Mus musculus: one gene and its partners. The protein of the gene in region 1 purifies or fractionates together with the protein of each later gene. This does not show direct contact. Links are inferred from orthologs where the notes say so. Each region holds a gene or a part of one and is shown in the gene's direction. Other genes may lie near its edges. The genes, in order: Mark2, Arhgef2 and Fuca1.

Region 1 (10,902 bases):
AAAATGAGGGGGTTGGGGAGATGATAACTCAGTCATATGTTGCCATGAAGACACGGGGACACCGGGCAGTGGTGGCGCATGCCTTTAATTCCAGCACTTGTGAGGCAGAGGCAAGCAGATTTCTTTTCTTTTCTTTTTTTTTTTTTTGGTTTTGGTTTTTCGAGACAGGGTTTCTCTGTGCAGCCCTGGCTGTCCTGGAACTCACTTTGTAGACCAGGCTGGCCTGGAACTCAGAAATCTGTCTGCCTCTGCCTCCCGAGTGCTGGGATTAAAGGTGTGCGCCACCACACCCGGCCCACAAGCAGATTTCTTAGAGGATCTCTGTGGATTTGAGGCCAACCTGGTCTACAGAGTGAGTTCTAAGATAGCCAGGGCTATACAGAGAGACTTTCTCTTAAAAGAAAAACAGAAATACACAAAAACACAAACAAACAAACAAGGAGCTGGACAGCGCGCTCAGTACTTAAGAGCACTGACTGCTTTTGCAGAGGACTTGAATTCAGCTCTCAGCATCCAAATTGTGATGTATAAACCATCTATAATGTGACATCCCTCGCATCCGCTCCAGGAGGTCTAACACCCTCTTCTGATCTCAGAGGGCACCAGGAATGCAGAGAGTGGTCAGATGTACATGCAAACACAGAGGTAAAACGTTCATACACAACTCTCAAAAAGAGATCAGAACAAAAAGACAAGGTGGTTGGTTGGTTTGGACATAGCCTTCAGCAGGCAAATTGTTGTGAATTCAAGGTCAGCCTGGGGTCTATATAGTGAGTTCCAGCATAGCCTGGGCTGCATAGTGATATTCTGTCTCAAAAACAAAAACAGACAGACAAAATGAAGTTGGAAAACTGGTGAGATGGTTTAGTGGACAAGGCTCTTGCCTCCAGGCCACTCTAGTGGAAGGAAGAGCCAACTCCCACAGGTTGTCCTCTGACCTCCACATGTATTCTGTGGGATATGCACATACACACGGACACACAAATCAATAAGTGTAAACAACGACAAAGACCAAAATAGAGAGTAAGAAAAGACACTGAAGTTCCATTGTGTAGGCACTGGCATGTTTTTAAGTGTATCCACGTGCACATGAGCACAGACATATACATTGATGCACACAACACACACACACACACACACACACACACACACACACACACTAAAATAGGAGTCTTCTTTGCTAAAACTTTTTTTTTTTTCATAAGAATGACAACTTTAGCTGGGCAGTGGTGGCGCATGCCTCTGATCCCAGCATTTGAGAGGCAGAGGCAGGCGGATTTCTGAGTTTGAGGCCAGCCTGGTCTACTGAGTGAGTTCCAGGACAGCCAGGGCTACACAGAGAAATCCTGTCTCGAAAAAACAAACAAACAAATGACAACTTTACATCAAATCAAGTCCAGAGGCCTTCCTAGAACAGGGCTGCATGTGACTACATAGGCAAATGGCCACAAAGTGAGCCTTGCCTTAAGCCTACTGGGGAGTTGAGGACGGTGTTCTAGCCCAGTACAAATGTCACGGGAATTAGACTTGATATTCTGCTGTGTCCAGAGGCTGGATCAGAAGGAGTCTGGGTGGGCCAACTGGTTTAACAGCTTGTGAGAGGAGGAGAAGTGACCAAGAGGAAGATCAGGGCTTGAGTGGCATCTTGATGAAGCAGAGTCATCTAGGGTCAGGAGAAGCTCCCTGGATGCCTCTGCCTTTACCTTTCAGTGTCCTCTCTCCCTGCTCTTCAGACTTTGGTCCTAGAAGTGACGTCTAGCACAGGCTCGGCAATGTGACTCCCTTTGGCCACCAGAGGGCAGATCATTCTCATGTTTGAATTTGGGGTGGGGGCGTGGTGTGGCCTCCATCCCTTTCCCCATCACTCTACAGCATTGCTTTCCCAGCTTCTTTCTCAGAGGTGGTGCTGGTGTGGAGCTGGTGGGGGGCATGGGGAGGCTTCCTGGAGTCCTGTGGATTCCTTTGCCTTACAGAATGCCTCCTTCCTCCTCCCTGCACCTGCACAGCTCTCACTGTGAGCAATTCTTGGGTGCCACTCAGCAATTCGGTCAGTCCTTTCCCTATGACCCTGGGAGCTCTCTCAGTTTCTTCACATTCATGGACCCACACTCTATCCCTCCTGTTGAGTTTAGGGTGAGGGTCAGGGGCATAGTTCCAGCTTCTATGGAACCATGGGCAGGGATAACTTGAAACAGAAGTCAGTCTGAGTTGAGCTATTACCTCTGCTTGGTGGGACTCCAACAGTGTGTTGTCATCTACAAAATCCATGCTTGAAAACTATAATCAGGGCTGGAGAGATGGCTCAGTGGTTAAAAGCACTCACTGCTCTTCCAGAGGTCCCGAGTTCAAATCCCAGCAACCACATGGTGACTCACAACCATCTGTAATGGGATCTGATACCCTCTTCTAGTGTGTCTGAACAAGGACAGTATGTAGTTACATAAAATAAATAAAACTTATATAAGAAAAAGAAAACTATAATCAAGATACAGTTAAAATGATACTTACAAAAGTCTCGTAATGTTTTAAGCAAGTCCATGGCTTTATGTTGGGTACAGAACGGACAGATTTGGTAAACTCCAGAGGAAAGGGAAGAGTGGGCTCTGGTCCTCCATGGACTTCTGTTAAGAGCTGGGAGCTTTCCAAAGCTGAGAAAGACCTCAGAGTTGTTGAATTCAACAAACCCACTTATCAACAGGGAGACTGAGGCCCAGAAAAGGAAAAAGACATCTTCAAGAGGTCTGGTCCTTTCATTGCACTATTCTGAGGTTTTGCCATCCTCCCTCCTACCCTCATACCAAGACAGGGACTTACTATGTAACACAGGCCATCTCGAACCTCACTATGTAGAGCAGGCTGACCTTGAACCAACAGAAATCCACCTCCATCTGCCTCCAAGTGCTAGGATTAAAAGCATGCCACCTTGCCCTGCTGGGGAATGTGTTTTACATTTTAGTTTTAGTTTTTAAACCTTTTTTATTTTTAGAGTTTTACCTGCTAGCCTGCATACCCACTATGCACATGTAGTGTTCATGGAGGCCAGAAGAGCTTTGTGAGCCCCCATGGGACCAAACCCATGTCCTCTGAAAGAGCAGCAAGCTTGGAACTACTGAGCCACCTCACCATCTACTTGTCTTTGTGGTTTGGTTTGGTTTTAGAGATGGGTGTTTACTGTGTAGCCCTGCTTGTCCTGGAACTCATTATGTAGGCCAGGCTGGCCTCGAACCATCTTTTCTTCTGCCTTTGTTTCTCTCTCTCTCTCTCTCTCTCTTTTAAAAAAGATTTTATTTATTTATTTATTTATTTATTTATTTATTTATTTATTTATTATATGTAAGCACACTGTAGCTATCTTCAGACACTCCAGAAGAGGGCATCATCTTGTTATGGATGGTTGTGAGCCACCATGTGGTTGCTGGGATTTGAACTCTGGACCTTCAGAAGAGCAGTCGGTGCTCTTACCCACTGAGCCATCTCGCCAACCCCCTTTGCTTCTCTCTAGTGCTAAGATTACAGGGGCAGACCACCATACCCAGCTGGAGGAATCCTTTTTGGTTGTCTGTTTTATTTTATTTTATTTTTCGTTCTAGAGATTGACCCCAGGGCCTCCTTCATGGCATGGGAGTTAAAGCTCTCCCACTATCCTACAACCCCAGGAATCCTTATCGTCAACAAGTGCCTATTCTTTTGCCATGAGTTTGTCTTAGAAGGGAGATTTGAAATGAAAATGAAAATGAAAATGAAATGGTCTCTCCAAGCCGGGCGTAGTGGCGCACGCCTTTAATCCCAGCACTTGGGGGGCAGAGGCAGGCGGATTTCTGAGTTCAAGGCCAGCCTGGTCTACAAAGTGAGCTCTAGGACAGCCAGGGCTACACAGAGAAACCCTGTTTCAAAAAACCAAAAAAAAAAAAAAGAGATGGTCTCTCCAGACTTAAACATTGTAGAATATTTTAAAAGTCATTTAGGGCTGGGCATGGCAGTGCACACTTGCAATCAAAGTGGTGAGGAAATGAAGGCCGGGGATCAGTAGTTCAACCATCCTTGGTTACATATCATGGCCAGCCTGGGCTACTTAATACCCTGTTTCCAAAAAAAGCAAAAACAAAAGAACAACAAAAACTTGGATGGACAGGGTGGTTGGTGCACACCTTTAATCCCAGCCCTTGGGAAGCAGAGGCAGCTCCAGGAGTTCTTGGTCAGTCTGGTCTACAGTGGGAAACTGTGTCATAGAATCGAAACTAACAGCAGAAAGGAAATGTTATGTGTAATTTAAAGAAATATTTATTTGTATGTGCCTATGTTTGTGCTTTTATGGGTTTATGTGTATCACTGGCATGCGGGTGCTGGTAGAGGCCAGAGGGCATCATTTCCCCTGGAATTGAAGTTACAAGGGGTAGGGAGCCATCTGATGTGGATGCTGGGACCTGACCAGATTCTCTGGAAAATAGTACAGGCTCTGAATGAGCCAGCATTCTGACCTATGTTGTAGTATTTATCTATTTAACTTTTGTGTATATGAGTGTTTAGCCTGTATGTACGTCTGTGCAACCTAGTGGAAGCCAGAAGGTGTCAAACCACCTAGAACTAGTTAGACAGTTGTTAACCACCATATGGGTGCTGGGTACTAAACCTCAGTCCTCTGGGAGAGCAACCAGTCCTTCCTCTTGACTTCTGAACCATCTCTCCAACTCATTTTATATATATACATATACATACATATGTATATATATTATACACACACACATATATACATATATAATTACATTTTTATTTAGTGTATAGGGTAGCATGCTCATGGAACAATGTTTTAGACTTGGTTCTCCCCTTTCACTATGTGGATCCCCATGGATCAAACTGAGTTATTTTGCTGGCCTTTGTTATGTGATTCCATGCCAAGATCACGCAAGCATTTTTCTCAATACTGAAAAAAATACTGTACCTTAAAGGTGTGTTAAGTTTCAAGGACGCTGACCCAGTGCCTGTCCGACCTGGTGTCTGTCCCAGGCTTTACAGAGGAATGAGGGGACTGACTCAATATAAGGCTGACATAGACTTCTAGAAGCCAAGATAGTCGCAAGATGGGCGGGTGTGCAAAGCAGGAGACAGGCAATAGGATGACACTACACTTGGCAGTTGACTCACACGTTGATAGCAAGGTTGAGCGATAAAGTGGGTTTTATGAGCTAAACATGCGGATGGGAAGTTGGCGTTAGGCTCAAAGGACATCAGTTGTAGGAACAGCTAATAGCGGTATTTTCTAAGTCAAACAACAGGTACAGGTGACCCACGCCTGTTCAAGGTTTGAAAATAACCGAAAACTGACGGAAAGAAACGAAGAGATAGATTCTTAGCCTCGGCAGCTCTCGGGTGTTGCCGGAAATGGCTGACTACCGCTCTCGGCCGAGCGACGGAACGGGGGCGTGGCCGGTTTAGCACACGCGGAGCCTCTTCGGCTGTTTCCGGAAACTGCCGAAAGCTTGCTCCAAGTGGGCGGAGAAAGGCCGGTAGGCGTGGCTGCTGGTTGGCTCTGGAGGTGCGGGGAGTCTCTTCGTGGATTTCCGTAAACAGAGCCGAACCTCGGTCTTCGGAATCTAGGAGGTGCGCGCGTCCCCGGGGATTACCTTCTTCGGTAGTTTCCGGAATTCACCCATCGTCTGGGCCGAGAGGAAAAGGCTCTTCCCCCTCCCGTTCCTAGTTGTTTCGGATGTTTCCGGCTCTTGCCGGCGGAAAGAGCCGAGGGCTGGCGGTGGTGGCGGCCATGTTGGGAGCAGCAGGTCCGGCGGCGGCTGCCTGTGTGTCGGGCGCGGAGCAGTGCGGCTGAGGGCAGGGGAGGAGCGAGGCAGGCGGCCGGCTGCGGCGGTTGAGAGTAGGCGGAGCGGCGCGGCCGGGCCGAAAGGCGGCACAACCCAGCCGGGGGTCGGGGGGGGGGGTGCGGTCCGGAGCCGCTCGGAGCCGGCGAGGCCTAGCCCGAGCGGTGCATCACCGGGCTGGCGTGAGCCATCGCCCGGCCTCCCCGCACCCCCGGCCGGGGCCCATGCAGCGGGTGCTCCTGCTGTGAGAAGCCCCGCCCGGCCGGGCTCCTAGCCTTCCCTTCCCTATCTTCCTCCAAGCTTCTCCATTCCCTCCCCTGAGATACCGGCGCCATGTCCAGCGCTCGGACCCCCCTACCCACGCTGAACGAAAGGGACACGGAGCAGGTAAGGAGCCCTCAGGGCTCCCCTAATTCTGTGACTGGGCCCCTGCACCTTACGGAGGCTCCCTCCCTCAGTTCTCCTCGTGCTCCTGCTTTCTTCTACAAGCCTAGGCTGTCATCTGGCCCTGGGTTCCAGCCCTTCACATCCCTCTTCCGAATCCTGACCTGGGACCCACGTCGTCCTGACTGAACTGCACACTTGTATTTCTGCCAAACGCCCCTCGCCTCTCACCGCCCTCCTGCGCTCTTCCGTGCTATCTCCCCAGCTTCCCCCTCTCTTCCCTTTTCTCTCAGGGGCCTTTCTGGTCTTCCTCCACCCACGCTTAAAGCAGCCACCTTCCTGCTCCTCGAATAATACCCCGCGATTTGCCGCGGATTGTTGCCCACCTCTTTCTGCATCTCTCTAGCTTTGTACCCTCTCTACCCGCACCGGCTCTCACAATCCTCGGTTTTCTCCCTCAAGAGTCCGTGTCTCGGGAGTGTGTTCTCGGTCCCTTTCCCCTTTCACTTCCCCAGCTTTTTCTATCCTCCTTTCCCGTTCCAAATTGGGCTCTCCCTGTTGCTTGCAACCCACCAGCTCCACCCTCGTCACCTTTCCAAATCGTTCGCCTACTCCTTGCTCATCACTTTCCCTTCTTTTCGGCAGGAGCTCCCAGGCTCCTGGCACTGGCATGTGTCGCTTCCGTGTTTCCCATACAGCTGTCATGCGCATAGTTTTCCCACAGGTTGCCTTTGGGGTTCCAGTCACCGCTCCCTTCAGAGTCTTTGGATCACTCCTGTTCTCTTCCCCCTGGGGTTTGGCATTTAAGTCCTTGGGCCTCCTGTCTGAATGCTCTTCCAGATTATCCCTGGGCTCTCCTCTACCGTGGGAAAGTCAGTGTTTTAGTCTGGCTGTATTAACATAACCTGTTGCTCACTCTTTTGCGGGCTGCATCAGCTGCATCAGTCCCTACTTTACTGCCTACTTACACTGCAACACAAATTCCGATACTGTCTTTCCAAACTGGTGGCTGTCACTTCTCATAGTATCATAGTATCTTTCTTGTTTGCTACTTCCTATTGCTCAACCTTCCCCCATCTCTCTTACAATACCTCCTTAATCAGTGCTGCCTTTCCTGTCCTAATGGGTCTCCTCCTCCCCTCCCAGTCTGTTTACAGCTTGTATGCTCTGTCCATTCCCTTTCTCTTAGCTAGCCTTTGCGGGTCCCAGGGTGTATGCTAACTGCTTATGCTGCGCACCAGCTCCTGGGCTGGCCTATGCTCTCCCTTTCTCATCCTGGCAATCACTGCTTTTTGTCACCCAAGCTTTTGCCTTTTCTGTGTCGTCCTCTCACCTATGAGCCATTGCTTCCACTTCACACTTCTCTCCTTTGTTTCACTGTCTCTAGTGTCCCTCTCTGCCTGCCTTTTGGACAGTCCCTTGCCTGTCACATGTTTCTGGGTGAATTTTACTAAACACAAACTCGTTGGAAAGGAGCAGGCTTTACTCAGCACACCCTGGTGTTTCCCTCCTGTTCCCTGTTTTCTCTGTAGCCAGGTAGGCTCGCGATGCTGCTGTGTTTGCTTAGCATCAACTTCCTTCTTTGAGAACCCTCTTTATCTCTTTCCTGTGCTTTGCTGCTGTTACTCTCCTGCTGTCTGTACCTGGAGCTAAAGAAGCATCCGGACAGTTTTCTGACACGATGGACCCATAACACATAGGGGCTGTGTGCTCTTGGGCCAGAGCAGGGGGTTGAGAGGGAGGGATGGTTGATTGATTTCATGCCTGGTCTGGCAGCTAGTCCTGCCTGGGACAGAGATCTTCAGAAACTGAGGAGCTTGGTCTGTGTTGCACAGTCCCTTGCTTGCCAGCAGTGTCTCTTGGGAAACACTTTGTCCAGGCTCTTCTGAGGCTGGTCCGTGCATCCTCCTTTCTCCTACTTCTCGCAGTAGCTAGACCTCAGTTAACTGGAGAACTTTCCCAGACTTGGTTATGAGCAGGGAGAAGGAGGCCAAGTGACTGACTGGTACTTTCAGGCATGTGGGGCGTGGTTGACCTGCCTGTTCCCCAGAGAGGCAGGCTGTGGAGGCACCGTGTTGGGCAGAGTGGCCTCGGTGTGGTTTCTTTGACTGTTTACTAAGTGTAAATGCACTATTGGTCTTCTGTGTGCTCAGATGTGCTCCACACAGTATTGGGTCATGAAGTTGAGGTTTGATGCATGTACACTGATTTCAGGAGAGTGGTAATCAGTGGCCAGTTTGGCACGTGAGCTGCTTCGTGATAACTTGGTCCAGAGCAGAGGCTGCCTTGTCATTCTGCTCCTCTTAGGCTCCATTTCTGTTCTTGGTGGACCGAGCTGCATGCAGTCAGTTCCTGATTCTCCACTCACACTGTCAGCTTCATGTTCTGCCACCGCCTTCGAAAAAACTTGGACTTGGAAAAGCTAGGTGCACACCCTTCCAGGTGCCTAGCTGTTTCTCTTTGTTTCTTGTGCTGCTGATTTGCTCAGAGCCTTGTTCTTGATAGACACGTTATACTCCCCAGCCCAACCCTGTGTGCTTTAGAAACAAAAACAAAAAGCAAGAGTCAGTTCAACATCCACCTTCTTCAGAGTAGACCCGGCTACCAGGTTGAAACTAAATACCTTCTCCTCAGTCCCATTGCACATAGTGAAGCCATTGTGGAAGCTCAGTCATTGCAGTCACCTCAGTGTTAGGAAATAAAAAGCAAAGAATTTGGCTGGGCAGGTCCCTCTCCACCGTCACCTTATTTAGATTTAAATTAGTTAAGCTGGTTTTACCAGAGAATAAGTAAGCAAACTTCTGTGGATGTTTCCAATCTCTTCCTTTTCTCCTTCTTTCTTTAAAATTGTGGCTGATAAGCTGTTTCTAGGAGCTCTTTGATCACTTCTGAAACACACAGAACATGTTGAAGCATAAAAATAAACCTTATGTTGCAGAAGATTGCCTGTTTGCTGTCAACTCTGCTTTTAACAGTGAAAGTAGATAAAAGAAAGCCAAGCTCTGTCTTGAAGATAATTTTGGTGACACCTGATTTCAGATGTGCACTATCACCAGAGATGACTTCCTTTTGCAGGATTCTGACCTGGGGCTAGTGGTTTTGGGGTTTCTAAAGTCTGTGAGCTGAGCTTTCTGTGAGCTGCTTTTCCAAATGCCTCTGCTGGCCTGGAGGCTTCGCAGCCTTGAAAGTAATCAGCAAGATGACTGTTTGTCTTCCAGCCAGCAGCAGCCTTAACAGTCAAGTGTGGAGAAGGGTACAACTTCCAGAGTTCACCTACCCCAGGCTAGCGCTTTCCCTAATTTCTGGGGGAGGGGACACATAGCTTCATAACCTGGAAACAGAGTATCTGATAGAAAACAGGAGCCTTTTGCTTCCCATCAGTCAAATGACAGTTCTGCCCCCAACTCTTCTAGAGAGTGGGTGGCAGAATATATTCTCAAAGAGGAGTCTGGAAGATTGAAGAAGAGGACAAATCTAAGTTATAGAATCCTATAAAAACATACTGCTCAGGGCTGACAAAATGGCTTAATGGGTAAGGGCACTTGCCACAAAGCCTGATGACCTGAGCTGGATCCCTGAGACTCACATACTTGGTGGAAAAGCTGAACCTCACTCTGGCAAAATACTAACAAACACACATGCTCGTTCTCATTCTCTCTCTCCCTCTCTCCCTCTCTCCCCACTTCCTCCCTCCTTCTCCCTCTCTCCCTCTCTCTCCCTTTCTGTCTCTCTGTGTCTAAATAAATGTGGTGGTGGTGGTGGTTGATAAGGATAACAGCAGCAACAAAAAGCCTCATACCCAGCAGTATAGAGCTGAGGCAGGCTCAGATCCAAGTTCTGTTTGAGCTACAGGATAAACTCAAGGCTAGCAACTTAGTGAGACTCTGTCTCTCCAGATCCAAAGTAAAAAGACTAGCTATAATTTAGTGGTGTAGCATTTGCCTAACAAGCCAATGGCTGAAGGTTTGCTTTCCATTAAGGTGGATGTGAGAACGGGTTTGGTGGAAGAATTAAGCCATCCCATAGACACCTTGTGAGATTCCAGTTTCCTTTTGGTCAACACTGGTCTGAATACTTCATTTTTGATGATGTGGGATTCTGTGATTTGACTCTTGATGATGAGGTGGGGCTCTGCCTTCAGGGTGTGGATGTGAGTGAATGTTAGACCTCACAGTTTAATCTGCTGGACCTTAGAGAGTCTATGTGAGGCTTGTTAGAGTAATGTCTCTCTGAAACTTGACAGTGACGCTGTACTTTTTGACCTTAAAAGTAATTGTAGAGTGAATTATAATAATGCTTCTCCATTCTGAGGATTTGGGTAGCTAGCTACACAGATGATACAAGTAAGCGGTTGGAAGTTGGCCTGCTTTGGATTGAAACCAAGTTTGCATAGGGGTAGGTGCATCTTTTATTCTGTGACAATAGTTTGGGCTGAAAATCTTGGGCATACATGTCTTGGCCTAGTTGATACTTATGAGGTAAAAAGAGATGGAGAACCTTGTTTGCCTGAGAGGCTTGTACAGTGAGATCTCTCAGGAGTCAGCATTTCTCTGGCTGATGGTCTCCCTTTGGAAGAACAGCCAGATTCTCAAAGGGCATTTGACTAAGACTAGCTCCAGGCCTTCATGAACTGTTTTCTCATGGAGCACTTAGCTACCTAACTGGCATTTCTCTTCCCTCAGGAGCTTCTACAATGGCCCTACATATG
Region 2 (9,856 bases), on another chromosome or scaffold:
CTTCCTTTTCTTCTTTCTTTTTTTTTTTTTTAAGATTTATTTATTTTACATATGTGAGTACAATGTCACTGTCTTCAGACACACCAGATGAGGGCATCAGATCTCATTACAGATGGTTGTGAGCCAGCCACCATATGGTTGCTGGGACTTGAACTCAGGACCTCTGGAAGAGCAGTCAGTGCTCTCGACCGCTGAGCCATCTCTCCAGCCCCATTCCTTGCTTTTTTACCTCCCTTCCCCAGCACACACTGGGTGCCCGCTGTACATGGGTGAGGCTTTTGGGTTTCAGGAGGAAAGTTACCTTGAACTCCTGATCCTTCTGCCCCTCATCTCGCCAAGTGCTGGCGCTACAGGAGCGTGCCAAAACACCTAAGCTTGTTCCGTTTGATAGTCAGGTAACCCCACGTGTAACATTAGCCTGGACAGTGCCCGTGAGCAGGCAAGACTTCCGAGATCTTTGAAGAAGAAGCAAGAAGACATCCAGAGCTGGACAGCAGAGGGTTGGGTCAAGCAGAAAGGGCCCTGAGCCCTAAGGTGGATGTTTGGACTGAGGAATGACTGGTCTTTCTTGCCCCTGTGGTGCTAGGATTAAATCCAGTGCTTCATATCTATTAGACCCTTGAACCCTGAGCAACATCCCCTGCCCTTTTTAGACATATTCTTTTAAGATAGTGTCTTGCTAAGTAGCCCAGGTTGGCTTTGAACTGACCATGCTCCTACCTCAGCCTTCCCAGTGTCTGGGCTTCCTGGGGTGTACACCATCCCTAGCTACGATTGCTTCTTCTCCTGGACATACTGTGACATGGAGGAGGTGAAGAGCTGTTCTGCGTGCTGTGTGTAAACGGGAGACAGTGAATCAATCCAGCCAAACCCCCACCCCCCAGTAAGCAGTTCCCATGTTAGTCCATTCTCCACAGCTTGAGCCCTGGGGCGGGCTCAGTCCAGCTATCTCTGGGACAATAGTGCTAGGCCGTGCCAGGGCCGGATCGCTGGTGCTGGGATGTGCTGTTGCTGCTGCGGCTGCTGCCCTCTGCTTGCCCACCTAGAGCAGGGGTCACTTGGAGAGAGGGTGAGTTTTGGTTAGGTGGAAGGCAAGGACTAGAGAAGCTGGGTCTGTGTGGGCAGTGGTGCAAGGAGGGAAAGGGCTATCAGAGCCCTTTCTGGTCCCAGTCTCTTGGCCACTCCCAACAGAATTGTCCAGGCAGGTAGTACAGAGAGCTGTGCGGTAGGAACCTATCACAGCTTTAGAATATGTCTGCAGGCACACTGTTCTTTCTGGAGTGGCCCTTGCCAGGCGCGGTGTTCTGGTGTCTGCTAGTCTCCTTTTACTTACTTGTTTGTTTTTATTTAAATTTGTCATAAATATTCATACTCTAGATTGGTGTCCTAGAGAAGCGTGGGAGGGCAGAGAGGTGAAGAGAGAGAGAGAGGGAGAGAGAGAGAGCATGTGGCAAGAGATATTTAGGCTTGGCCTTTGAAGTCCAAGGAGGTGAATTTGAGGTGACTTTGATCTTAAAAAACAAAAACAAAAACAAACAATTAAAGAGTTCCCACAAGGCAGCTGGAGTGCCAAGCAGTGGGAGACTTTCCTATTGATTCAGGTAGGTAGGAGCCACTAGAGCAGGGAATGCTGAAATGGCCCATACTAGAGTCTGCAGGAGGAGTGTCCCTCAGAGGAGGAGCCAGCCGCAGGGACAGGGAGGGAGGACCATCCCTTAGAGAAGTAGATGCATGGCTGAGAGAGACGGTGCAGTGTATGGAGGAGTGTCTGCAGCAAGAGCGGGGACAGGAGAGAGGACCAAGATAAGGAGAGAAGAGAGCAGGCCAGATAAAAAGAAGAGCCCTGACTTGCACGCCTGCAAGTCCTGAACTTTGGTGACTGAGGCAGGAGGATTACCTTTAGTTCAAGGCTAGACAGGGCTTCATAGTGAGACCCTGACTCAAAACAAAATAAATCAAAAAGTTACCAAATGAAACCCCAACAGTATAGTTAGGGGAGAAAGGAAAAATGTATGGCGGAGGTGGTAAAGTGAAGGGGGGACATAAGGAGGTGATCTCTGTCTAGACCACTGGGCTCCATCATCCTCAGGCCACCCCAAGGCCCAGGGCTCTCTGGTCCATTGCTCTTTGGCCACCCCAAGGCCCAGGGCTCTGTGGTCCACTGCTCTCCAGCCCCTGGACAGTTGACTCAGCACCTTTCTGCTTCCCCTTTTCCCATCCTCCCCTCTAACTGCCAGCATGGTTAGTGGCGTAGGCAGGACTGCTCATCCAGGCCCAGGCTGAATGCTTTTCACTGAATTGTGACTTTTTGTCCTAGGGTCCCAGCCAGTGTCCTCAACTTGGGGCTCCTACTCTCAGCCCCAGTCACCTGAATGATGTCCTTGTCTCCTAACATTTTTTCCCCCTTAGAGATAAGGTTTCTCTGTGCAGCTCTGGCTTTCCTCTCCTGGAACTTACTATGTAGACCAGGCTGCCCTCGAAGTCTGAGATTTGCGAGACTCTGCCACCCAAATGCTAGTTTTTTTTTTTTTTAAAGATTTATTTATTGTTATATGTAAGTACACTGTAGCTGTTTTCAGACAGACCAGAGAACAGAGAAGGGTGTCAGATCTCATTACAGATGGTTGTGAGCCACCATGTGGTTGCTGGGATTTGAACTCAGGACCTTTGGAAAAGCAGTCAGTGCTCCTAACCGCCGAGCCGTCTCTCCAGCCCCAAATGCTAGGTTTAAAGACGAGCTTCACTCCTGCCTGGCTTGTCCTCTAACATCTTTAATTAATTAACTTAACTAATTACTTTAGATACAGGGTCTCACTGTGACATTCTGACTGGCTTGGAATTTGCTACGTAGGCTAGTGTGGCCTCAGACTCAGAGATCGGCCTGCCTCTCCTCCCCAGTGCTGGGATTAAAGCCGTGCCCCACTGTTCCATTTATCCTGCCTTTTCTGACTTATTGGTTCCGTGCCATGGTTTGGACGTGGGTGTCAGTTTGTTCTTCTGCCGTGTGGGACCTGGGAATCGACCAGGGTCATCGGGTGCCTTTGCTTTTCTTTTAAGCTGTCTTCTAACCTGTTTGTTTTGTGTTGTGTTTTGTTTTTGATCGTAGTGGTGGTGTTTTGAGATAGGGCCTCATATCACTATATAGCCAAGGATGTCCTTGAACTCCCAAGCTTCCTGCCTCCACCTCAGTGCTGTTTGTGCATGAGTGTGTGCGCATGCACATACACGTTGTTGTTGTTGTTGTTGTTTTGAGACAGTTGTTCAGTAGCCCAGGCTTGCTGCAATAGTCTTAGTCTTCCTGTCTTAGTCAGGAGTTAACAGGCATGGGCTACCACAGCTGACATTGTCTTTTCACCTTTTCTGGCTCTTGGAGCTTGGGGAGGAACAGTAAAGAAGTCAAGGACTCTGACAGAAGCTGGAGGAGGTAGGGGAAGCTTAAAGGCAAAGGTAAACATAGACCTCGGGGTAAGAAGGTACTCAAGAGTGCTGCAGGCCTAGCGCTGTGATCTGGAGTTCACAGGGTTTCTTGGGTACTGAGCCCCCACCTCTGTACGTACACACACACACACACACACACACACACACACACACACTCTGCTAGTGAGGGATCTCTTTTGGGCTTTGACTGAGTGTAAGTAGAAGAGTTAGAGGGTTCGGATCCTGGCCTCTGAGTTGATGGTGTCTGAAGAGGCATCCTGGCCCCCACCCCCAGCCAATCTAATAGGGGAATCTCCTGCTTTGCCATCCCTGCTCCCCCATGACTGCTCTGAAGACAGCAGCTCCAACACCCGTTGTCATGGTTATGAGAGGAGCTAACTCCCATAGATTGGAAAGCGCTGGTGAGCTGGCACCCTCTGCTTCACTGGTCCTCCCCTCTCTCTGCGCATCTTCCCCCGGCACAGAGAAATCGTACAGCAGCCCGGGGGCGAGCAGAGCTAAGGCTGGAAGGTGGAGTGAGGACGCAGAGCTCTAGAGCTAGGGAGATGAGTGGGAACAGGAGGCAGCCCAGTCGCCGGGGTCAGGTAGGTCAGAGGCCTCGAAGCCTCAGGGACTGACTACCCAGGGCCTGGTCATGCCTGGACAGCCACCTCGGACACCCGTGCATAGTGGGTTATGCTTTAGCAATTGCTGTCACTTCAGCCTCTCTAGGCAGGCATTTCTCCCATGCCTCTGCTGTTTATCTGGACGCCAGGTACCTGACTGAGTGTCTTCTGACCTCACTTCTGTCTCTCAATCTTTCCACAGACCCGGGAAAAGGAGAAGATGAAGGAAGCTAAAGATGCCCGCTATACCAACGGCCACCTCTTCACCACCATCTCCGTCTCCGGCATGACCATGTGCTATGCCTGTAACAAGAGCATCACAGCCAAGGAAGCCCTCATTTGTCCTAGTAAGTTTTTGGTCCCAAAGGTGACCTAGCCTCAGTTGCCATCGACCTCTAGTTCTCCCGTCCGTCTGTCCTTCCCACCCTGGATCCTTTAAAGGACTCTATTTTCCGGATCCCAGCCGGGCTCAAGTGTCATGCTCAGGTGCTTGGTCTCCTGCCACCCTTGCCCACACTGGGTGGTGGCTATTGGAATGTGGCGTAAGCTGGTTGGTCTCTTGGGTGTGGGGTGACAGAGGCTGTTGTTACTCTCCATGCAGCTGTCGCTGGCTTGGGTATCCCCCTCGCCTCTTGAACAGCTGCTGACAGTTCGGAGAACTGCCTGGAGAATGAGCAGGAATGTGTGTTATAATGCAGGGTGGGAGAGGAGTAGGGAGCGGAGGGAAGCTGCCAGCCTGCAGCTGCCTCTGCCCATCTCCCTGGACAGCTTAGACGCGAGGACTCCTTGCCCCTGCCTTTCTGTTGCATGTGAGGGAAAAGAAGTCTGCAGATTCAAGGACAGGCTGGGATTATCCATTTCTTTATCCCTGATAAAGAAATTCAGCAGAGACCTGAATGATGGAGGGAAGGGCTCAAAACTCCTAATCTTGCCCATGTCTAACCTTTATCCTGCCCCAGGAAGGAGACAGAGGAATTCCGACCTCCTTAGGATACCATTGCAGAGGGCTCTAGCTCCGCCCTGCCCCACCCCCACCCCCACCCCCATCCCCATGCCTTCCCTGGAGTAGACTCGAGTGTTGTACCTTGATACTGACCAACACAACTCCACTCTAGCCTCCTAATCCCTTTGGGATGTTGGAAAGGAATCCCAGATAGAACCAGGGAGGCCTACCCCCCTCAAAAAGAACCAGAGAGGCCTGCCCCCCCCACTTCTTTACCACTTGATCTAGAGCCAAAAGGATGAGGAGGTAACCCCAATCTAGATCCCTCTAGAGACCTGGCAAAATACTCAATCCGGAAGCTTGTTGCCAGGGGAACTGGGGAGGTGGGTAGCACTATTTTGAGAGCAGGTGGAAAGCGGGGGCTCGATTCAGAGACACTAGGTGTTGTGGGTAGGGGAAGGGAGCTCCAGGGGGTGGGCACTGCCACAGCCTGGCTTCTGTCGGCCCCTTCTGCCCCACCCTGTGTGCCTTGTATTTGTGGAAGTGAGCGTGGTGTTGGGCATTGTCTGCCTGAGTTAGCAGAGTTTCCTGTGGTGTTTGGGGGTGGGGTGGGGGGAGCTGTAGAGCTGAGGGCCTGTCAGGAAGGGAACAGCCATGGTCCCGAGTGCAGGCTCAGCTAGTTCAGCTACTCCTTTTTCCTTTCCTACTTGATGGAGAGGTGGGGTGGGGGATGGGGGGAAGCAGATGGAGTGTGGGAGCTGTAGTTTGCCTTACTGGGGAACAGAACTTCCCAGGCCTACAAGAGAAAAGGCCCCCAGAATGGAGTTAATGCAGAAGGCTGCCAAGATGGGAAAGGGAAGGGCCACTGGTCCAGACTTTGAAGCAGTAGGCAGGAGCCTCTGGCATATCCATGGAGGAGTATGGATTTTAGATCTGAGCACATCTAAGTGTAGCTGGGTGACCTAGGTAAGCAAGCAGCGTTCAGAGCAGATTCTTCATCTGTGAAGTGAGTGGGGAGCTTTCCTCGGAGACCACTGTGAGTTCTGGCTCTCTGTCAGCTTCTGGTCTTGGGAGCCCCCGTGATCATCTGCAGTGTCATCTCCTTTGTGCTCTTTGCTCTTCCCAAGCAGCAGACACACCTTTCTTCCCTCTGGTCCTCCGGGCTGTAGTATTTCCCAACCTCCTGGATGGTCCACACCAGACCCCTCTCACTTCAGTACCTGCTTGAAGGAAGGGGGGAGGACACACATGTGATAATGACCAACAACTCTGGGAGAGTGTCTACAAGCTATATGGCCTGGGGAGTTGGGTGTTTACATGTGGGTGTGTCACCCCTAGTACCACCCCAGCCCTCCCTTACCCTCTCTACCCCCACCCTGCCAGCATGTAACGTGACCATCCACAACCGCTGTAAAGACACCCTGGCCAACTGTACCAAGGTCAAGCAGAAGGTGAGCTAGATGGCAGGGTGGGCAGAGGGCTTGCGGGGAGGGCATCGCCATCCCTGCGGGCCTTTCCACACATCCCTCACCCTCTGTCCCTCTCCTTGCCGTGGGGCATCCCAGACCCTCGGCCTGTGTAAACACAGCCCTGCCACACTAGTTTACCTATATCCCGATGTCCTTAACTGCGGGGTCAACTTTCTCCCAAGAGGGCGGATGCCAGGATCTGGCTTGTTCTGGGTGTGTGGCAGGGCAGTCTTTGGGTGACAGCTGTTTGTGGTGTCTCTCTTCTGCTCTGTGTCACAGCAACAGAAAGCTGCACTGCTGAGGAACAACACTGCTTTGCAGTCTGTCTCCCTTCGAAGTAAGAGTGAGTTCACAGGGCCACCAAGCCACTGAGCCCACGGGCTCTGCTGCCCCCCTGAGGTCACACCCAGACACACAAAGCTCCTTTTGGAAGTGCCTTGGGAGGGAGTGCCATAAAGGATGGTCCTTATTCTGGGGCTTAGTATGTAGACAGGCTAGTCCACATAGGGATGAGGGACAAGGATGGCAGGTTACTCGAGCCTTGCCACATGCTGTTACCTATACTTCATTTGGGGACTGAGTGTCCACTGTCAGTTCAGGAAAGCGTGATGCCCAGGTTCCTTCTCCCCAGCTTGGATCACTGCAGACAGGTCTCACATTTCCAGCCTTCAGTTTGCTTATAGGCTTGGCTGGGTTGGGGTGGGGGTGGGAAGAACATATAAGAACAGGCTCTTAATTCATGGTGGTGGCTTGCACAGTGGACAGTAGCATTACCTTGATGGGCCTTGCCAATTTTCTTTGCCTCTTAGGGAGCTGAGGACAGGCCAGACAGTTCCCCATGGCTCCCCGTGAGGAGCCTGGGAGAGCAAAGAGCCAGGGAATTAAGCTTTCTCCTGCTTGGCCTCCTTCCTTACAGCGACCACCAGAGAGCGGCCAACGTCTGCCATTTACCCTTCCGACAGCTTCCGGCAGTCCCTCCTGGGTTCTCGGCGGGGCCTCTCCTCCTTATCTTTGGCCAAAAGTGTTTCCACTACCAACATTGCTGGGTGAGCTTCTGTTTGGGGCAGAGGGGGCCTGGCAGGAGAGAGTATAGCCCATGAGAGCGCTGTGTCTTCCCCTGAGTTCAGAGCTGGAGACAGATACGAGAAAGATAAGTTCCAGCACAGAATAGCTATCCCTAGGAGCCCAAGCTTGGGTCCCAACCTGGGAAGGGACCTCCTGCCCGAGTTGGGGTGATGCAGATGGCCTCCACTTCCTTCAGACATTTCAATGATGAGTCTCCTCTGGGGCTGCGTCAGATCCTCTCCCAGTCCACAGACTCCCTCAACATGCGGAACCGAACCCTGTCCGTGGAATCCCTTATTGATGAAGGTGAGCAGACCCGGCCCTGGGGAGAATCGTGTTGGCAAGACGGTGGTGTGAGAAGCCTGGGATGGGAAGGAAGAGGATGTAGGGATGGGAGAGCTAGGCTCTGAGGTGCCAGCGGCACTGATGCACACGCAGGTGTAGAAGTGTTCTACAATGAGCTGATGAGCGACTTTGAGATGGATGAGAAGGACTTTGAGGCGGATTCTTGGAGCCTTGCCGTGGACAGCAGCTTCCTGCAGCAGCACAAAAAGGAAGTGATGAAGAAGCAAGATGTCATCTATGGTATGCTAAGGCCACTTTGGTTCCCCTGCACCTGTCTTTTAATCCAGGCTTTGCTTACCTGAGTCTTCTCCCTGCCACCTACCTGTTGGGACACCCTCATCCCATCCTTGGCCTCCATGTCCCCAGCTAGTACCAACTTGTTCCCTGTACACCTACTTCTTGGTGCCGTTGGCAATTTTGTTTTTTTTGTTTTGTTTTGTTTTGTTTTTGTTTTCGGTTTTTCGAGACAGGGTTTCTCTGTGTAGCCCTGGCTGTCCTGGAACTCACTTTGTAGACCAGGCTAGCCTCGAACTCAGAAATCCGCCTGCCTCTGCCTTCCAAGTGCTGGGATTAAAAGCGTGCGCCACCACCGCCCAGCACTGTTGACAATTTTGTAATTTTATATTTAAGAGATTAGAGTCTCAGCATGTAGGCCAGGCTGGTCTCAAACTCTCGGTCCTCCTGCCTCAGCCTCCGGAGTTCTGAGATTTTGAGTACATACCACTGCACCCAGCTCCCAATGCTCTACTCATATCTCTTGCTCAAGTCAGTCCTCGGTCTTCATCCTGCCTCTCCCATGGCCAACACTGTTCCGGGAACTGGGAAGCCTACACCTCTAACACACAGAACTCTTGCCCTGAAAGAGTGTACTGCTTGAAATGACAAGGAAGTGGTCTGAGACGACAGCCACACAAGCGTTAACTTGGAAGAGATCCACATAAGAATCCCATGAGTTGTGCCCGAGGTAGAGTACGGCAGGAACAAATGTCCCTTTGTCCCGTAGAGCTGATCCAGACAGAGCTGCACCACGTGAGAACCTTGAAGATTATGACCCGCCTCTTTCGCACTGGGATGCTGGAAGAGTTGCAGATGGAGCCAGAAGTGGTCCAGGGCCTGTTCCCCTGCGTGGATGAACTCAGTGACATTCACACACGTTTCCTTAATCAGCTTCTGGAACGGCGGCGCCAGGCTCTATGTCCAGGCAGCACCCGGAACTTTGTCATCCATCGTTTGGGTGACTTGCTCATCAGTCAGGTAGGAGAAGACACACTTGAGCCCGTTCATGAATGCGTGTGAGCGTGTGGAGGTCAGGAGGCAGTCCTGGGAGTTGGTTCTTCCCCATCATGTGAGTCCCAGGATTTGAATTCAGGTTGCAAGGCTTGCTAGTAAGGGCCATCTTACTGGCCTAGGACTAAACAGTTCTTAGCTCTAGCCAAACTCTGGTGATCAGAAGGGAAGCCAAGCAGGGGACAACTGGAGAGGAGGAAGCAGCCTAACTGAAGGCCAGAGGTGTGCTGAGGGCTGAGGTGCGGCTCTGTAGGAAATGCTCACCTAGTCTTGCTCTCCCGACTTCCAGTTCTCAGGTTCCAATGCTGAGCAGATGCGCAAGACCTACTCAGAGTTCTGCAGCCGCCACACCAAGGCCTTAAAGCTCTATAAGGAGCTGTATGCTCGAGACAAACGCTTCCAACAGTTCATCCGGGTGAGCAAGGACCTCCAAGGCCAAGCCCAGCCTTCTCACGGCTCAAACCCAAACTCTCCCATCCCCAGGGTAGCGTATGGGAGCTGTGTGCTTATACAGGGCAGCCCCTCGAGACTCTTGTGGACTGCGCTCCTAGATCTCTTGTTTGTTGAGACATGGCCTCTCTATGCTGCCCTGGCTGTCATGGAACTCACTATATAGATGTGGCTGGCCTCAAAACTCAAAACCTGCCTTCCTGTACTGCTATTAAAGGCATGTGACACTACACCCAGCTTACTCTTAGATCAAC
Region 3 (10,802 bases), on another chromosome or scaffold:
TCCTGGTGTCTGTCTCATTCTTCCAGGACCTGCCTGTTCCTTCCGCCCAGCAATTGGCCCTTGGCTTCTTTACTGATAGACCAATAACCAATTGGGGAACAAGACCTTAGCATAAAAACCACCCCTCCAGCTAACCTGCCCAATGTTTTCTTTTATGTCGATTGACTGATTGGTTGGAGGATGAGTGGCGTTGGCGTGCCACAACTCACGTGTTCAAGTCAGAGGACAATTTTGGGAAGTTAGTTTTCTCATCTACCGTGTGGACCCCAAGGATCAGCAAGCCCTTTCACCCACTGCCCCTCTTGCTAATCCGTTCAATGCTTTCCCTAGTTATATGTGGGAGCCACCCCTGCATGGGGGACCCTTGGAGCCCAAGGGGGGCTTCTTCGCCCCTGTAGCCCGCGGCCACGAGAACCGGGTTCCTGAAGGGGAGGCTGGGCCTGAATGGAGAGAAGATGGCAAGAGACCAAGACAAAGATACTGATCAAGGCCCAAAGTTTACTTAAGAGTCTTGAGTTTATAAAGGGGGAAGGCCCATCCCCCACCACGCCAGGTTCTTGATGCTTTGTCACCAAGTTGTTGCTTATTCAGGAATGTCTCAGGAAGACAGGTTTCTGAACCTGTCTTCCTGAGACAGGTAGCAGTGTCTTGGAGATAAGCTCAAAGGTGGCAGAACAATTGGCCTATCTAGGTCAGAAGACTCCACCCTGAGTGGTCTCCTTAACAGTGGCAGAACAGGTCTGAGCCAGCCTGCTCAAGGCTGGGGGAGGCTACGCGCCCTAACTCTCACTTTATATATTTTATTTTTGTTATTATGTTTGAATTTCTCTCTTTCTTTGGTTTTTCAAGATAAGGTTTCTCTGTGTATCTCTGACTATCTTGAAAATCACTATGTAGCCCAAACTGGCTTCAAACTCAGAGCTCCACCTGCCTTTTTGGTTTTTCGAGACAGGGTTTCTCTGTGTGGCCCTGGCTGTCCTGGAACTCACTTTGTAGACCAGGCTGGCCTGGAACTCAGAAATCGCCTGCCTCTGCCTCCCGAGTGCTGGGATTAAAGGCGTGTGCTTTTCTTTTTATGGTAAGATCTCACTTTGTAGTCCTTGTTGGTGCTCCCGCTTCAGCCTCTGAAATGTGAGGATTTCAGGCTGAGCCTCCATTCTCAGCTGGCTGGCTGGCTGGTTGGTTAGTTTGTTTTTGAGACAGGTCTTCCTTTGTAACCTAGGATGGCCTCTAATTTCAAGCATCCCCTGAGTGATGGGATTACAGCCATGAGCCACTGTCCCAAACTTCTAGCCAGTCCCCTTGCATCTGGTTTTAGTCAGATGACTGTCAGGACAGTTGTAAAACACCTGTAGAGGGCAGGACAAGTGCAGGTGTCTGGAGTTCTGAAATCAAGTTTAGTTTTTGGGTTGTTGTTGTTTTTCTTCTTTCCTCTCTCCTCCCTCTATAGTCTTATCTAACCTTGGCTGACCTCACATCTATAGCAATCCTGATGGCTTGGGATTTTCTTCGTGCTGGAATTATAGGCCTGTGCCAGTGCCCCTAGCTTTTTTCTTTTGTAAAGTTTGTGGCTTAGAGTAACTTGCTTAGTCTCTCCCTTGCTTTCTTCTTTTTTTAATAATATTTATTTACTTATTAATTATATATGTAAGTAGCTGTCTTCAGACACACCAGAAGAGGGCGTCAGATCCCATTACAGATGGTTGTGAGCCACCATGTGGTTGCTGGGATTTGAACTCAGGACCTTTGGAAGAGCAGTCTTTAAGTGCTCTTACCCACTGAGCCATCTTGCCAGCCCCCTTGCTTTCTTCTTTATCCCTGAACTGGGGTTAGAAATCACAGGAGCTGACAAGGTGATGGGCATAGAGCCCCAGGGTGGCCTCTGATTTGCAATAACTCAGGTTCAGGTTCCCAAATGCTACCACACCTAGCTCTTTTTTTTATTTTCTTGGTCCCTGACAAGACATGGGTCTTTCAACTTGCTGAGCAGTGCTCTGCCACTGAGCCACAGTCACGTTTGATTACGATGTGTCCGTGAGCACGTATGCCTTATGAGCACGCATGTGGAGGAGGTCAGAGGTCAGCCTGCGGAAGTTGGTTCTCTCCTTCCAGGAGGATTCTGGGGGTCAGGCTTGGTCATCAGGCTTGGCAGCAGAAGCTTTGCCAGCTCAAGGCAAGCCTCCTGGCCTGCCCAAGCACCAACCTCTTTGTCAAAGCTTAATTATTATTTATGTGTTGTTCGTGTACACCATGGGCAGCAGGTGCCTGAGGAAACCAAAGAGCATCAAATTCCCTGAAATAAGCAGTTGGGAGCCGCCATGACGTTGGGAAGCAAACCCAATTCTCTGCGAGCAGTAGCAGGCTCGCTCACCCCCTGAGGTGACTGGAGCCCTGGGAGCAGCCCCCCTAATTAGTTACTGATTATATGTAGTTCCTTTTCTAAAGGGGCAGCGAAGGAGATTAGGGGAAATGTGCCTTAGTACCGCAGTTTATTATTATTATTACTATTGCTATTATTACTATGATTATTACCCTTTAGTTTATTTGGGACGTGTGTGCATGCATGTGCCATGGTGTGCATGCAGAGGTCAGAAGACCACTTGCAGAGTCAGTGTGCCCGGGACTGAACTCAGGTTGTGAGACTTGGCAAGCAGGCGCCTTTACACACTGAGCCAGTTCACCAGCCCCTGCAGCTCTCCTTTTAATTAAATTAAATTGTTACTTTTTGGTTTTGGTTTTTGGTTTTTGGTTTTGGTTTGTTTTGGTTTGTTTTTCTCGAGACAGGGTATCACTATGTAGCCCTGGCTGTCCTGGAACTCACTCTGTAGACCAGGCTGGCCTCGAACTCAGAAATTCCCCTGCCTCTGCTTCCCGAGTGCTGGGATTAAAGGCGTGCGCCACCACACCCGGCCCTAAAATCGTTACTTTAGCTGTTTGAGTGTTTTGCCTGCATGTTTGTCTATGCTCTCCATGTACGCCTGGTGCCAACAGAGGCCAGAAAGTGGCATCAGATCCCCAGGGGAACTGAAGGATGGGTGATTGTGAACCTCCATTGTGGGTGTGGGAAATCAGACGAGAGTCTCAACTTCTAGACGAGCAGCCCGTTCTCTTCCAGAGCCTGAGCCATCCACTGCTGACCCCGCACTACAGAGCCACCTCTCCACACCCTGTCTCTGAGGCTCTTTTAGACTGTGGTTGTGTTAGCAAAAAAAAAAAAAAAAAGATTTCTTATCTCTTTAGTTTCTGCATTGTGATTTTTATGGTCCTTTCCAATCAAGAGACTTCCTTCTGACAAGCTAGGAGTGGAACTCATGACCTCACATGTGATAGGCAAGTGCTCTCCCTCAGAGCCAGACTCCCAGTTCTAATTTGTAAATATTTATTGTAATACCTGTCCGTAAGACTGGACTAGATACAGATTCTGATGGCAAACTGTTCTCGTCCCATGTGTTCCAGCTACAAGCCTGACCTGATCTGGTCCGACGGGGAGTGGGAGTGTCCTGACACGTACTGGAACTCCACCAGCTTCCTTGCTTGGCTCTACAACGATAGCCCTGTCAAGGTAGGTGGTTATCAACTACCTTATGAATTACAGGTTCTGAAAAAAAAAAAAAAGAGTGTGAATGAGCACGCTGATACTTACCCATAGTCTCAGCTGGGGTAGGTAGGCTGTAGCAGGGGCAGTCCTAGCAATCGTGCCTCCGCTCTCCAAGAGCTGGGATTATTATGGGTGTGAGGCACCATTCCTAGCTTTATGCTGGGTTTTATTTATTTATTTATTTATTTATTTAGATTTATTTATTTATTATATGTAAGTACAGTGTGGCTGTCTTCAGACACTCCAAAAAAGGGCATCAGATTTCGTTAGGGATGGTTCTGAGCCACCATGTGGTTGCTGAGAATTGAACTCTGGACCTTCGGAAGAGCAGTCAGTGCTCTTAACCACTGAGCCATCTCACCAGCCCTATGCTGGGTTTTGTAGGGTGCTTGGGTAACTGAGCCTTCCCTGTAACTGGCCAGTACACAGGCTGCCAGTTTACACCTTGTGTTATGGACCTTGGACTGAATGACGGAGGTCTTGATCTCTGATAGAAAATGCCAAAGATTTTACAGGTTCTTGGTTTATAGATTTTAAAGAAAGATCTAAGTATAAAGCAGGTCGGGCCGGGCGGTGGTGGCGCACGCCTTTGATCTCAGCATCTGGAGGTAGAAGCAGACAGATCTCTTTGAGTTTCAGGCCAGTCTGGTCTACAGAGTGAGTTCTAGGACAGCCAGAACCACACAGAAATTCTGTTTCAAAAAATGAGAGAGAGGGGGGAGCTTGGTAGCTGGAGAAATAGCTTAGTTGGTGGTAGAGAGGTGCTTCGCATGCACCGGCCTGGGTGTAATCAGAGACACCAAAACCGGGAGCTGGAGAGATGGCTCAGTGGTTAAGAGCACCGACTGCTCTTCGATGGTCCTGAGTTCAAATCCCAGCCACCACATGGTGGCTCACAACCATCTGTAATGGAATCTGACGCCCTGAAGACAGCTACAGTGTACTTACATATAAGGAAGAGAGAGAGAGAGAGAGAGAGAGAGAGAGAGAGAGAGAGAGAGAGAGAAGCACTAAAACTTAGCTTGGATGAAGGTGGCCTGGTGGAGTCCTGTCTGTGGGGGTCGTATTGAGAAGTCATTACTAAACTCAGAAAATGGGAAGGAGAGAAAGAAGAGACCCCTGAGTGGTGAGTGCTGGTGGAGGTGGCTCTCATGCTGGAGACAGACTCACTCACTCACTCACGGGAGGGCAGGCCAACAGCAGGGCAAGCCTGGCTTCCAGGGGTCCCCCGAGTCTCTGGGGACTCCCAGATGTGCAGTTCATCCCCAGGTAGTTAACACAGACGGGATGCCATGGTCTAAATTGTCCACATCTGTCTCTGCTCAGCGTTTAAAGGGAAAACACTCTGTAACTCACCATGGCACCACTGTCTCTGCCTCAGTTATGTACCGTTATGAGTGAGCAGTTGATGGCCATCATTCAGACTTTGAGATGGACCAGATGTGGTGGTGCACGCCTTTAACCCCAGCACTCAGGAGACAGGTGGATAGATCTCTATGAGTTTGAGGCCAGCCTGGTCTACCCAGTGTGTTCCCAGGCTAGCCATGGCTGCATAGTAAGACTCTTATCTCAAGAAACAAATTAAACAGCTGGGTGGGATGGCATACAACGTTGATCCCAGCACTGAGGAGGTAGAGGCAGGTGGATCTCTATGAGTCAGAGGCCAGCATGTCTACAAATCGAGTTCCAGGACAGCCAGGACTACCCAGAGAGGTAGGTGCCTTTCCTCCGGGCTGGGCCTTCATGGGGCTGGGTCGTATAGTGCATGGGATGACAGCCCCATTAAGGAGAATCACAAAAGAAAAAAAAAAACATAAGCAAAGATGCAGTGTCGGGAAGGAAGCAAATGCCAATCACATTAAAAATAAAAATAAAAAAAATGACAGCCAGGGCTGGGGAGAGGGCTCAGAGCAGAGGCTCTTTGAGTTCCTTACCCTGCATGCTCTCACTAGGTGAATCACAACCACCTGGAACTACAGCACAAGGGCAGCTGATGCCCTCTTCTGGCCTTCTTGTGCACTGACATACATGCAGGCAAAACACTCGCACAAGTTTTTTAATTGTTTATTATATGTGTATGAATGTTTGCCTGTGTAAGTTTATGAGTAATGTGTGTAGGCAAAACCCCATAGAAGCCAGAACGCGGCACCAGATCTCCTGTCAAAGCATCAAGCACTCTTAACCATTGCGCCATCTCAAATGAGTGCTGGAGAGGCCTCAGGCTTACGAATTAAGTGCTTTACCCTCTGAGCCATCTCCTGGGCCACAGGCACTCTCTCTATATACACACTTAGTCCATGCATCCCTCTGCTGGGTCCCTGGGCTCGGGCACTGCTGACGATAGGGGCTGGATGCTGCTTTGGTTTTTGGTGATTTCATGTGCATTGGAATTTGCCTCCATGTATATCTGGGGGGAGGGTTGTGTGAGTTACAGACAGCTCTCTTCTTTTTTCTTTTTCTTTCCTTTTTTTTTTTTTTTTTTTTTTTTTTTTTTGAGCTGCCATGTGAGTGCTAGGAATTGAACCTGGGTCCTCTAGAAAAACAGCCAGTGTTCTTACCCACCAAGCCATCTCTCCAGCCCTGGTTGCTGCTTTGTAGTAGGCACTGTCTTCAATACTGTAGGACATTTCTCAGCATCTCTGGTCTCTCTCACTGGGTAGCAGCACGGCCCTCACTGGGACAGCCAAAAAACGTCTAGAGTCCCGCATGTGCTCTGTAGAGCAAGCGAGCACCAGGGGAAAGCACTCGTGTAGTCCTGCTCTTCCTCCTTCCAAACACACTGTTGCCGGAGGGAGCTGCGTCGCATAAAGGAGCCAGGCGGTGCTGTGCCGATGACCCCGTTCTCCTCCCTCCTTTAGGATGAGGTGATAGTGAATGACCGGTGGGGCCAGAACTGCTCCTGTCATCATGGAGGGTACTACAACTGTCAAGACAAATACAAGCCACAGAGCTTGCCAGACCACAAGTGGGAGATGTGCACCAGCATGGACAGAGCATCCTGGGGCTATCGAAAAGACATGACCATGTCGACCATCGCCAAGGAAAATGAAATCATCGAGGTAAGAGCATTGCCATAGCTGTTCGTCTGTCTTTGAGCTGCCCTCTGACCAGGAGTCCAGTGGCTCCAGCCTGCTCGGGCCACAGTACACGGAGACTGTCTTCAGGTTCTAATGGGGGGAACAGACACCATGACCAAGGCAACTCTTATAAGGACAACATTTAATTGGGGCTGGCTTACAGGTTCAGAGGTTCAGTCCATTATCATCAAGGTGGGAGCATAACAGCATCCAGGCAGGCATGGTGCAGGAGGAGCTGAGAGTTCTACATCTTGTTCTGAAGGCAAGCAGGAGAAGACTGACTGTCACGTGGTAGGAGGAGGGTCTCATTGCCCACCCCATCGGTGACACACTCCTTTCATCGAGGCCACAGCTGCTCCAGCAAGACCAAAGCTCTCCTAAGGACATTGTCCCTATCACTGAGGAAGGGGTTGGAATTTGAAAACTTGAAACTATGTCTCCTTATTTGTTTGGGGTGGGGGCAAGTGTGTGCCATGTTGTATATGCAGAGGTCAGAGGTCAGCTTGAGAGTCACTTCTCTCCTTCCACCCTGAGTCCCGAGGATCAAACTTACGTCACTCACATTGGTGGCAAGGGACTTCACTGTCTGAGGTCATTGCCTTCGACATCTTCTCAGCCTCAGGGGAAGCTCTTTCTACAGAGCTGTTCTTCCAGAACTTTCTCTTGTCTTTGTGGAGTGTGTGTGTGTGTGTGTACACAGGTAACATAACATGTGCTAATGTTTGTTTTGATGTGTTCACAAGTGTGTTTGTGACACCCAGCACAACACCCAGAGTCTTTTGGCCATTGCTGGTTTTTGTGTGTCTTGTTTTGAACCTGAGTTCTGAGCTCAGGTCTTCTTGTTCATAAAGCAAGCACGCCCCCTCTGGGCCATCGTTTCCCAGCCCCTTCCCAGGGGTGTTTCAGTTCGCATGTGAGTGGTTTCCATTCCTTACTGGGTGATTCAGTAGGCGGGACAGCTACACTGAAGAGTACTCAGCCGGCTGCTTCGGTATGGAATAAAGTGCCATGTGTAGCTGCAGCTACGTAAAATCAAGAGTAGGAGGAGACACCAAAAGTCAATGGAAGTTTCCTTAGGTGTTCTCTAATGGGCTCTCGCCTTTAAATTTTTCTGTATGTAAAATTAGTCCTGGACTGCCTTGAGCAACAGTTGTTAGCGGTCACAGCAGATACCTGCTCTCCAGTGTCTTCAGAATGTCTCTTTATGGTATGTATTCTTTGTTGAGGCCGAGTCTTCTGGGAGTCCCTGCTGGCCTCAAATTTGGTAGCCAAGGCTAGCCTTGAACTCCTGGTCGTCTTGCCTCTTCCCTCCTCAGAGATTACAGGCATGGGCTAGCACGCCCAGCTTCCCTTTCATCGGTTTTGCCGAAGGTGCATATAATCTGTACTTAAACAACATTTGCTGCCGTACCCAGCTCTAAGGTGTAACTCACCCCCCCCCCATTTCCCCTTTGTGGTGCTAAGGATTGAAGCCAGGGATTTTTCTCTTAGCATTCCCTAATGTCTGTGTGTTCTAGACACTGCCAGGCTTGGTAGTCACACCTCAGTTTTTATTGTTTCTGCCTTCTTTAGGAATTGGTTCAGACGGTAAGTTTGGGAGGCAACTATCTTCTCAACATTGGACCAACTAAAGATGGTCTGATCGTCCCCATCTTCCAAGAAAGGCTTCTTGCTGTCGGCAAGTGGCTGCAGATCAACGGGGAGGCCATCTATGCCTCCAAACCCTGGAGGGTGCAGTCGGAAAAGAACAAGACGGTTGTGTGGTGAGCCCTGCCTTCTCTTGTGGTCAGGAGAGTGACTGATAATAGCCATGGTTCAGTTCAGAGTGATAGTAAAGCTAAAGTCAAAGAATTAGTAACAAGTGATAGCTGATAGATAGATACATACATACATACATTATAGATACATAGATTATAGGTAGATTGATTATAGATTATAGATAGATGGCAAAATATTAAACTGAGTACTTTAAACACCCAACCAAAATCACTTGGGGAAGCCCTTAAGGCTGGAGTTCCTGACAGGGAGTCCTGGGTAGAGCAGAGTGAGACTTCTCACTAAACAAGTAAGACAATACAGTGAGTGATGTCATCACTCTGAGGCTCACGAACACCAGCAGAAATCAACTGGGGAAGCTGGGGGAGTCAGCTGGAGTTTCAAGTGTTCCTTGTCTCCGCGGATGAGCTGCCCATGGCTGAGCCTCTGGCTTCCTGACCCGCCACCCCCCCCCACACACACACACACACGGGTGCTTTGTATCAGGGACAATGAGAGCCCTGTTGGAGATGGCTAACCTAGCTGTTCTCAAAAACTCAGGGGTTTTGCTTCTGATCTGTTCTCTTTCCGTTCCTGACGTGGAGTTAGGGGGCAGCCCAGCCCCTGATAAGGGGCCTCAGGACACTTTGAGACAAATATGCTTGGGTCCAAAATTCGGTGGAAGGCGCCCTGCTTCCAGAGCCAGCTTCTAAGTGAGCTCAAACCACACAGGACAGCCTATCAGTGTTGTACTTCATACTTCCGATGTGGGCCAGCATTGGCCTGTGGCTGTTGTGGACCTGGCACATCCTCAGGTCCTTGCCTGGCTACTTGCCTCTTGCTGTAAGATTCATGTCCCAGCTGGGTTCTGTCTCCACCCACCCTGTGCAGAGCTCCACCCTAAATTTTTCCTATTTGTACACGGACTTCTAGATCTAGTTATTTGACCCTGGACCTCAGTTTTTTCAACTGCAAAGTGTGTGATGGTACTTGGCTTCCTAGACTCGATTTGAAGACTAGTTACCATCATCTGTGTGAGGACCCCGCGGAGCGCCAGGCCTGAGCAGGGAGCCTGGTGCCACACCAGAGTGCCTTTGTTCTTCTCCCCTATGGATGATTTTCTGTGAGCTGGTTGTTATCCTGTCTTTGAACACGGTGACCTCTCGGGCCAGGGGATGTGTCACCTTTGTGTCACCCTTGTGTGTTTCACTTGTTTCACCCTCTGTTGTTTTCTCGTGGATCTGGAGTTGAGAAGGTTTCAATACCAAGTTCTGTGGCGTCGGCTCCTAATGAGTACCTTTCCTATGTGTAGGTCATGGTTTCACCATGCTGCGTAGGCTGTCCCCCACCTCCTGGGGACAAGCTGTCCTCCTGCCTCAGCCTCCTTAGTAGCTGGGATTCTATGTCTGCATCACCACACCCAGCAGAAGGTTTTTGTTTTTGTTTTTTCGGTTTTTCAAGACAGGGTTTCTCTGTGTAGCCCTGGCTGTCCTGGGACATACTTTGTAGACCAGGCTGGCCTCGAACTCAGAAATTCACCTGCCTCTGCCTCCCAAGTGCTGGGATTAAAGGCGTGCACCACCACAGCCCAGCTTGTTGTTTGTTTTTGAGACAGCATGTAACTGTGTGTAGACAGGAAGGACTTGAACTCACAGATATCTATGTACCTGCATCTACTTCCTGAATGGTGCATGGACCACCTTTAATGGCTACCACTAGGCTGTCTTTCTTTTCTTTCTCTTCTTTTTTGGGAGAAAGGGGGAGGCAGCAAGCTTAAGGCTAGTGAGGCATCAGGGAAAGCTCTAGAAAATAAGTTGCCCAAGGGTTAATTTTAATTTTTCAACAAACCTTAACAAAACCCAGTGAAGGGATAATAGAAAATCCCAATGAATTTTCCAGACCCTTTCCTTCCCGAGCACCTTACTGCACTCCCTAGTGGTGATGACAAACACCAGGGCTTTGATGGGTGAGCTATCTAACTGGGGTGTGGGGGAATGTTAGGGATAACAGCTGGACTCAGACGTGGGCAGTGATGTCTCTTTGTTCCCAGGTACACTACTAAAAACGCAACTGTTTACGCCACTTTCCTGTACTGGCCAGAAAATGGGATCGTGAACCTCAAATCCCCCAAAACGACCTCGGCCACAAAGGTAAGGAGACTCTGTCAGTCCCTCCTGCCACAGACCTGCCCGGGCCTTCACAGGACCCAGCACTGCACGAAGGCCAGAGACTGATGATCTCTGGTCTTGTCACTCTCACTCCCTCTACTTCCGTCCTCAGTATAAATACTGTCTCTAAAAGCTACCTCATACAACCAGCAGGCAGAACTATTAGAGAAGGGTAATTGATCACATGATTTTCTAAATACTTTT

Evidence for each region.
Region 2: the proteins of Mark2 (region 1) and Arhgef2 purify together in Homo sapiens (affinity purification with western blotting; 3 studies listed by BioGRID and IntAct, with this or other methods). This does not show direct contact. The link is inferred for Mus musculus from reciprocal best matches to the Homo sapiens genes MARK2 and ARHGEF2.
Region 3: the proteins of Mark2 (region 1) and Fuca1 purify together in Homo sapiens (affinity purification with mass spectrometry; 3 studies listed by BioGRID and IntAct, counting the BioPlex papers as one, with this or other methods). This does not show direct contact. The link is inferred for Mus musculus from reciprocal best matches to the Homo sapiens genes MARK2 and FUCA1.

The regions. Positions count from the first base shown.
Region 1 is NC_000085.6:7,336,463-7,347,364, reverse strand, and holds the start of Mark2 (serine/threonine-protein kinase MARK2), read left to right. Parts: upstream 1-5,504; 5' UTR 5,505-6,143; coding exon 6,144-6,197; intron 6,198-10,902. UniProt on the Homo sapiens protein: Serine/threonine-protein kinase. Involved in cell polarity and microtubule dynamics regulation. Phosphorylates CRTC2/TORC2, DCX, HDAC7, KIF13B, MAP2, MAP4 and RAB11FIP2. Phosphorylates the microtubule-associated protein MAPT/TAU.
Region 2 is NC_000069.6:88,625,542-88,635,397, forward strand, and holds part of Arhgef2 (rho guanine nucleotide exchange factor 2), read left to right. Parts: intron 1-1,196; exon of another isoform or gene 1,197-3,983; coding exon of another isoform or gene 3,984-4,022; intron 4,023-4,245; coding exon 4,246-4,390; intron 4,391-6,369; coding exon 6,370-6,437; intron 6,438-6,734; coding exon 6,735-6,798; intron 6,799-7,371; coding exon 7,372-7,501; intron 7,502-7,716; coding exon 7,717-7,826; intron 7,827-7,958; coding exon 7,959-8,105; intron 8,106-8,868; coding exon 8,869-9,119; intron 9,120-9,441; coding exon 9,442-9,567; intron 9,568-9,856. UniProt on the Homo sapiens protein: Activates Rho-GTPases by promoting the exchange of GDP for GTP.
Region 3 is NC_000070.6:135,926,443-135,937,244, forward strand, and holds part of Fuca1 (tissue alpha-L-fucosidase precursor), read left to right. Parts: intron 1-3,456; coding exon 3,457-3,562; intron 3,563-6,456; coding exon 6,457-6,657; intron 6,658-8,247; coding exon 8,248-8,438; intron 8,439-10,480; coding exon 10,481-10,580; intron 10,581-10,802. UniProt on the Homo sapiens protein: Alpha-L-fucosidase is responsible for hydrolyzing the alpha-1,6-linked fucose joined to the reducing-end N-acetylglucosamine of the carbohydrate moieties of glycoproteins.